Rattus norvegicus: one gene and its partner. The protein of the gene in region 2 binds, or shares a complex with, the protein of the main gene of each other region. Each region holds a gene or a part of one and is shown on either strand. Other genes may lie near its edges.

What was found.
Region 1: the proteins of Dlg4 (region 2) and Htr2c are in contact, whole or in part, in an NMR structure (PDB 2MHO), measured with the Rattus norvegicus proteins. Residues at the interface, in NP_062567.1 of Rattus norvegicus: Gly74, Leu75, Phe77, Ser78, Ile79, Ala80, Asn85, Pro86, His87, Ile88, Thr97, Lys98, His130, Val134, Leu137, Lys138; in NP_036897.2 of Rattus norvegicus: Val452, Val453, Ser454, Glu455, Arg456, Ile457, Ser459, Val460.

What each region holds. Positions count from the first base shown.
Region 1 is NC_086039.1:115,451,900-115,455,719, reverse strand, and holds the start of Htr2c (5-hydroxytryptamine receptor 2C precursor), read right to left. Parts: upstream 2,531-3,820; 5' UTR 2,316-2,530; intron 1-2,315. UniProt on the Homo sapiens protein: G-protein coupled receptor for 5-hydroxytryptamine (serotonin).
Region 2 is NC_086028.1:55,238,505-55,242,104, reverse strand, and holds the start of Dlg4 (disks large homolog 4), read right to left. Parts: upstream 2,322-3,600; 5' UTR 2,266-2,321; coding exon 2,236-2,265; intron 1-2,235. UniProt on the Homo sapiens protein: Postsynaptic scaffolding protein that plays a critical role in synaptogenesis and synaptic plasticity by providing a platform for the postsynaptic clustering of crucial synaptic proteins.

The sequences.
Region 1 (3,820 bases), on a different chromosome or scaffold from region 2:
AGTTATCACTCTTCTTTTTCCTGTGAATTCATACTGCACCAAAGCCTGTCGTGATATTACCTGAAAAAGTCATCACTGTTATCCATTATGACTCTACATGGCAGGAAAAACCCAAATGACAACAGAGAAAGGGTTAACAGGTCTCTCTCTATTTTGCAGATAGAAAAAGTCTAAATACCCCAAATCCTACCTTGACATTGAAACCACAAGCTTTATTCACCTTCTGACTTTCAGGACTTACTTGAGTTGGGCTTACTTCTGTAGATGATAGGTGCTATTGGGAGAGAAATTATGTGCACATTGCAAGTATTTTTTTTCACATTCCCAAAGGACCAGAAAAACAAGTTTACCGAATGAAAATCCTATGATCTACTTGCTATAGGGTGGGGTTGAGAGCTATAGTTGATTTCCCAAAAGAAAGGTGCCAAAAATTATATTCCTCTTAAAGGCCAGTGTGTGTGTGTGTGTGTGTGTGTGTGTGTATGCCTGTGTGTGTGGGTATGTGCACACGCGTGCCTGTGTGTGTGTGACCTTGCACGTTCGTGTGTGTGTGTGTGTGCCTGTGTGTGTGCCTGTGTGTGTGCCTGTGTGTGTGGGTATGTGCATGCTCGTGCCTGTGTGTGTGTGTGTGTGTGTGTGTGTGTGTGTGACAGAAAGAGATGCTGAAAAAGAAGTGAAGAAATTATTTTCTGTGGAGCAAGTTAATTGCTGTTTCTCATTATCCTTACAGGTGTAAAGACTCCAGGTGACAGTTTATGTAAAATGAATTAATGTTTTGTTTGTCAGAGTATATGATTTTTATATATACATATATGCATATATGTATTTATGTGTATCTATGAATGCATATTATAAATACAAATTTCTTAATGAAAACATTTAAAGTCTGTCTTGGTCCCACATTTTTTTTCACCACTCTTTTATGTGAGGTCATGATCATCTGCAACAGACTGGGAGTGCAGAGATTACTCACTGCGCAACATTTTCTCCCCCCCCCCCACCTCCCTGCAACATCGTAGTTCAATCCCATTTTCCCCAATGGACATTTTCCTTGCTTAGCAAGGAACAAGGTAATGTATATGGTACAAAGTATATGGTGAGGGGCATAAGCATTAAGAGAAACAGCTAAGATTTCCTTGGATGGGATTTACACAGGTAGATATTAATGAAGAACCTGCCAAGCACTGGCAGTGATTCTGAACTAAATTAAATATCCTTCAACTGCAGAATGTCGCCTGCTGTGTTTGTTGGAGTGGGTGCCTGTCAATTAAAATAAGGGGTCTGTCTCCATCACAGTGTGAAGTGTCTTAGTCACCTAGTACCATCTAACAGGAAGCAAGACGCAAAGGGCTCGGCGCAGAAAAGAAACAGACACAGAGACATGTTTTGCAATGACGAACTTTATGTCGCACCAGGAACCAGCAACCTGTTCATGTTTAGCAATTCCGTGGTATGCTGTTAACACTGCTTGTCAGGTTAAGCTGAGCAAAGAGACGGGATAAGAGGCAGCCTTGAAGACTTTTCCATAGTCCTTTTTAAAATATAAAACTGTCACCAAAATGACTTCGGGAAGCTAATAAAAAGGCTCGCCGGATACCCTTAGACTATCCTCTTAAACTTACGTGACCATCAGCAACGCTGTTCAAATTCAGCCAGCAGCTGTTAGACCAAGACATAGATCCGCAGTGTGTTATCTCCCAGAGTTACGAGTGTTCCCTGAGACCCGCCGAAAATGAGGGTCGGTTTCAACGAGAACATAATAGAGATCATTTGCAATCCCCCCAGCCCCGCTCCCATTACTTCGAGCCCTGAGCCCCCTCCCACTTAGTCAGAGTCCGATTTCTTAATAAGGTGAACAGTTAGCATCCCCCTACTGGATTGCACCCTTCTCAGTCCAACCCCTCGACCAGAGACCCCTACGTTCAGTTTTACTCCTCCTCCTTCCCACCCTTCCCTGTTCTCCTCCCCCTCCCCTTACTTCTTGAGACCCCACCCCAGTCTTACTCTCACAGCTTTCCCTGAACGCGAGGGTCTCTAGATCCTTGCCTCCCTCTAGCGCCTACATCTCGAGTGCTGTCCTCCAACCTCCTCCAGACTCTGGGGTTGCATTACAGAAGCCTGCGTTCTTGTCTCCTTTCAGAGACCCCCACCACCCCGCGATTTGAGCGCTCTGAGTCGCTTCTCACCACCCTTCCCGAACCAGTGCGGTCCTCCAGGCTGCAACCATCCGGGACCTGTCCATGCTCCCCGACCCCATCCTCCGCCCAAATCTTTAAGGTCTGCGCTAGCAATGTCGCCCGGGGGCTCCAACTTACCGCTAGCGTCCGGGAGGAAGACCAGGCAGGTCGCCGCGGCGGCAGCTAGACGAGAAACGGACTCGGCTGCAATCGCCCAGCGGAGCCCGCGGCAGTCAGTGCGCTGCTCAGCGCTGCGCGCCGCAACCTTGCGTCTCAGCAGACGGAAAGAAGGATGGAGGGAGCTCGGCGCGAAGGACAGCGCCGGCAAGTCGACCTCCTGTGGGCAACCTGCGCCCCCCGGAAAGGTTTGGCTGGGGATTGTTTCACTACCCTACTCTAGCATAGTAACTGACACCTCCAGCATCTCCGCGCCAATCGCTTCTTCTTTCTTCTTTGAAGGCCCCTAACTAACTACACTATTCTAAGCGGACGAAGACCACCACCGGAGCACCACGACGATCTCCACGACGCCGACGACAATCGATGTGCAGAACGAAGAAAAGTTCATATGTAATAGGAAGGTAAGGGATAGACAGGCCAAAGGAGCAACCAAGATTAACAATCTTGCTGCTCCAAGGGCTCAATCATTAAGATCGGTACACCTAAGGAAGCTTCCTCAGTGAGCACCAGAGCGCCTACCCAGAGCTGGTGAGGCTGCACCGGGCTCTTAGGCAAAACCAGGGATGAGGGGAGGAGTCACGAGGAGCCAAGAAGAGCCAATCAGTGCTCAGGGTTACACTGCTCCGGGCCTGTTTGGACCAGAATCTTTGTGATTCTGGAATCTGCTGGCAGGGGAGCCTGAGACCCTGTGGCGTAGGTGGAGAAGTGATTAATTTGATTCATAAGGTATAGGGACTCGGGGAAACTGAGGTCATTCATGGCAACAGAGAGGGGATGGGAAAATTCTTAAGATCGACCCTCAAAATTTAAACTTTAAACACATACTGCAGAAAGAGAGAGAGAGAGAGAGAGAGAGAGAGAGAGAGAGAGAGAGAGAAAGACAGAGACAGAGAGACAGACAGAGAGAGAGACAGAGAGAGAGAGAGAGAGAGAGAGAGAGAGAGAGAGAGAGAGAGAACAAGACACACAAGACAGACAGAGAAAGAGGCACAGAGCATGATGGACATGTAGCGAGAAAAAGAGACAGAGAGGAAAGACACATAGACACATACACGCAGATAGAAATAGAGACAGAGATGGGGGAGGAGGAGCTTTAGTTCCAGGAAGAGACTTTCAAAGTCTTATAAATTTCACTGATTCATAAAACTCCTTTCAGAGGGTCTCCAGTCCGACTGTCATTCTTCTGTCCATCAGGAACAACTGACTCTGACAGGATCAACCATTAAAGGCCACAACTCGGTTTGATGGCCGGATATTTCACCCCAGCCCCTACTCTTAAATTCAAAGAGAGAAAGGGAGCCCCTTGACTTTCAAGACCTTGGAAAACAATTTTTAATTCATTCTTGATGTCACCCCGCACACTCTGATAAGAGCTTAGAAATAAACCTTGAATGTAGTTCATTCGGTTTTCTCTGGGAGCTGAAAATATCTCCAACAGAAATTGGGAGGCACAGTTAGCTGCC
Region 2 (3,600 bases):
CTGAACATATATTAAGTATTCAAAAATGTTCCTTAAATTACTGCAGCAATTTATAAATATAGGCAACGAAAAATGGGAAGGCTGTCAAACAGACCAGGAGAGCTCAGTGACTACAAAGGCTGAGCACTCCCAATCCCACTCCCCAGCATTTTCGGAGGGCAGAAGCCATGTGCCCCCTGCTGGTTTCTCCTGGGCCACCCTCAACTGGCCTGGATAGAGAGGAACCACAACTCCCAACAGTCCTGTGGACCACGACGCTCTACTATTGAAGGATCTTGTACCTCAAGGCCTTATGGGAGTTGGAGTCCCTCCATCTAAGGCTGACAAGTTTTCTGACCAATGAATGTTGCAAACATGGGTCTCCAAACCTCAGTAAGACCTGAATACATGATCCTCTAGGCAAGCCTCCTACCTTCAGGGTTGCTCAATCATGTGTTCCATCGAACACATTGAAAACTGGAGCAGAGAAATGAATAGACACATCCACTCAGAATAGCTACCAGTGCTACTAAGCCCCTCACCCTTATTGGATTTCATGTGTTCATGTTAGAAGGAGAACTCACACATTCCAATGAGTTCCTATATACATCAGTACAAAGGTGATGACAGCTAGGTTGCCAAGGCCAGGGATTAGGCCTAAGGACAGAAGGCACAAAGAACACAGGCAGACACTGACTGAAAGAGGGCTAGAAGAACCGAGGCACAAAAATCTACTGAAAACTACGGGGGATAAGAGAAGCAGCAGCCTGGAAGAAAGCCCAAAATCCACAGACCAGGAGAAAAACAACCAGCCCTGTAGATGGGGTAAAGGATGCAGACCTGAAATCTTCAGTCCCCAATCTCTAATCATGTTCACACGTGCACAATGCATGTGTATACACATGTGTGAGTTTGTGGCAAGGAACATGTGTGTCCTCAGCTTCCTTCCATAAGAAGCTGCAGTTCCCACTAAATATAACCCCCTCCCCAGCCTGTGACTCACCCGGACCCCGCCTCCCCCGGCCCCCACTTCCTGTCCCACCCCCCAACCCCCAGCTGCCTGCCGCCCGCCCAAGCCTCCCTCCTCACACCAGGCATCTAGCCTGCCAGTCCCAGAGTCTGGGAGCAAGCGACCGACCTAAGCTTCTTGGGCTTTCATCCCAGATCTCCCACTCTTTCCAGGCTCTGACCACAGGGACACCCTTGTACCCTGTATGGATCCCAGTTCCGCCAGCCCTGCCCTCTTTCTATACCGTTTTACCCCAGTGGCCTCTTCACCTCACAAGCCTTCAGAGACCCTTAGATCCAGGTGTCCTCTCAAGCGTCAGGGTAACAGCCCCCCTCCCCATCTGCTATTCTGTTCTCTTGACCAAGGCTAGATAAAATGTGGGAGATGGGAATAGTGGGCACCTGCCTGGGCTACCCCCAAATTTTGTACCACCCACATGGTCCCCCTCCTCAACTACCTTCTTTTTATCCTCCTACCCCACACCTCTCATCCTTCTTACGAGATGACAACCTCAGCTTTGCAACCTTCTAGCTCCCATGGGAGTACCCTGAATCCTAATCCCACCTGGTCCATTCTCTCAGGTAAGGCTGCATCAGGCCTCAGCCCTCTGGAAACTCCCAGGTCACTCACTCTATTCCACATAATTAAACCCTAAATGTACAATTCCCTCAAATCAGGAGCATCTCAAACATGTCTAGCACAAGATGTTTTATTACCTGAAGGCCCACCCTTACCTGCTAGTTGACACAGCCAGACAAGCCAGACACAACCAGTAACCTTTACCCTTATGCCAAGAGACACCCCCCCAAAATTGGTCAATTGGTCAGCATCTTGAAATGAGCTTTTTTGCCCAGGAAGGAAGACAACCCTCCCCCTAACACACTCACATAGCCCACCTTCCCACATATATGAGCAGAACTCCCATGTGAGGCAGGCGGGCTTCTCCTTAAATAAATTGCCCTCAAAACACTGCTGATGAACACCAGAGCCCACCAAGACACCCCAAACACCAAATCAAATTCTCCATTTCTTTATAGGTACAAAATGATCACTCCAGGAGGCACCTGTGGACCAAATCCATCGTTTTCTCAGATGTGAACCCCAAAACTAAATTGTGACCCCTCTAATACATCTTACTTTAGATGCGCTCACTTCAGTGCCTGCAACCCTAGATAAGGCCTACCTAAGCCTTCTCCACAAATTCATTACCTACTCCCCCTCCCCACTGCTCCCCCCATCATGCTTACCTTGGTTGTCACTATACAGAGACAGTCCATGTTGGGGGGCCTGGCCGCGGCGGCGAGTAGGGGGCTCTGACTTCATTGGAGTTTTGTTCCTCCCCTCGGTGGGTTCTCACCCCTCCCCCCTCCGCACCCCACTTTTGCAGGGGGGGCCAGGATGGGGGGAGGGGTGAGAGGGGAAGGAGAAGGTTGGAGAAGAGAAGGGTAGGGGAGCGTGGAAGGGAGGGGGGACCCTAAAGGGGGCTCCCCAGTGGAGGGGAGGGGGCTTGAGGAGCACACCCCGATTCTCAGGAGGGGCAGGGGCACAGGGGGCTGGCAGCCCCGGAGTTCTGGGGCTGGGGCATGAGCTGGGGTGGGGGAGGGGATCTGGATTTCGGGAAGCCCCGGGGTATGCGGGGGTCTTGCCAAACGGCCAGGGGCTAGGGGCCGTGGCGGGGGAGTGGGGTGGGGGGGGTTGGAGATGGCAGCGGCCGATGTAGCCGCGGAGCCGAGGAGGGAAGGGGAGAGAGGAGGAGAGAGGAAGCAGGGGGAGGGAGGGAGGGAGCTAGGAGCCAGAATGGGGGGGTGCCTTGGCAGTGTTAACTCCTTCACTGCTGGCAGGAACCCGGATAATGGGAAAGGAGATAGAAGCACAAGCAGAGAGGCCCTACGGCAAACATGGAGACCTGGCTAACCTCGATGATGACATTAAAGACGAGGACGGATTTCATTCCTTAGAGGGAAAAGGCCCACATCTGAGATGAGAGCATCCCTGGCTGGTTGAGTGCTGGAGGGAGGCCACACCACGGGGTACGGGGCTGAGGGAGGGGCTAACATTAGAGAACCTTGGGGACCTAGTTCTCCCCTAGGAGTCACAGGAAGAAGTCTGAAAAGTAATTAATTATGACCTGGACTTTCTGGTGCTGAAATTGGGGCAAGCCAAGAAAGGGGAGAACGGAGAAAGGGTACAGGGCTGGCTGCCCACAGAAAGAGCACTGTCAGTGCCCCCGACTCCTCAGTCAGTACTAGGGATTTTGTTGCCAAGGCCCCTAAGTCTCAGTTTAAAATTAGCAAGAACGTCCTCATCCCTCCAGTCCTGCCAGCTTGAGCAGTCAGGAAGCCAGGCACCCACCATCATCACCTTACCTGACTCTCTAAGATGCAAGCCTCATAATAGTCCAGGATGTCTGTCACAGGAACAGAATTAAGTCACCTCCCAAACCTCAGGCCCCTCTGGCCACCCCTGCTACCCATGGCTCTGTGTGTTGAGAGACAAGTTCCTCTAGCTAGGATGGATGCTGCTGGGACACAGTGGGATGACCACAAAAGCAAGAGCCTGGACTAGGGGCTCTGCAGGATTCCAACCAGCCTAGAACCTATAACAGGTGACCC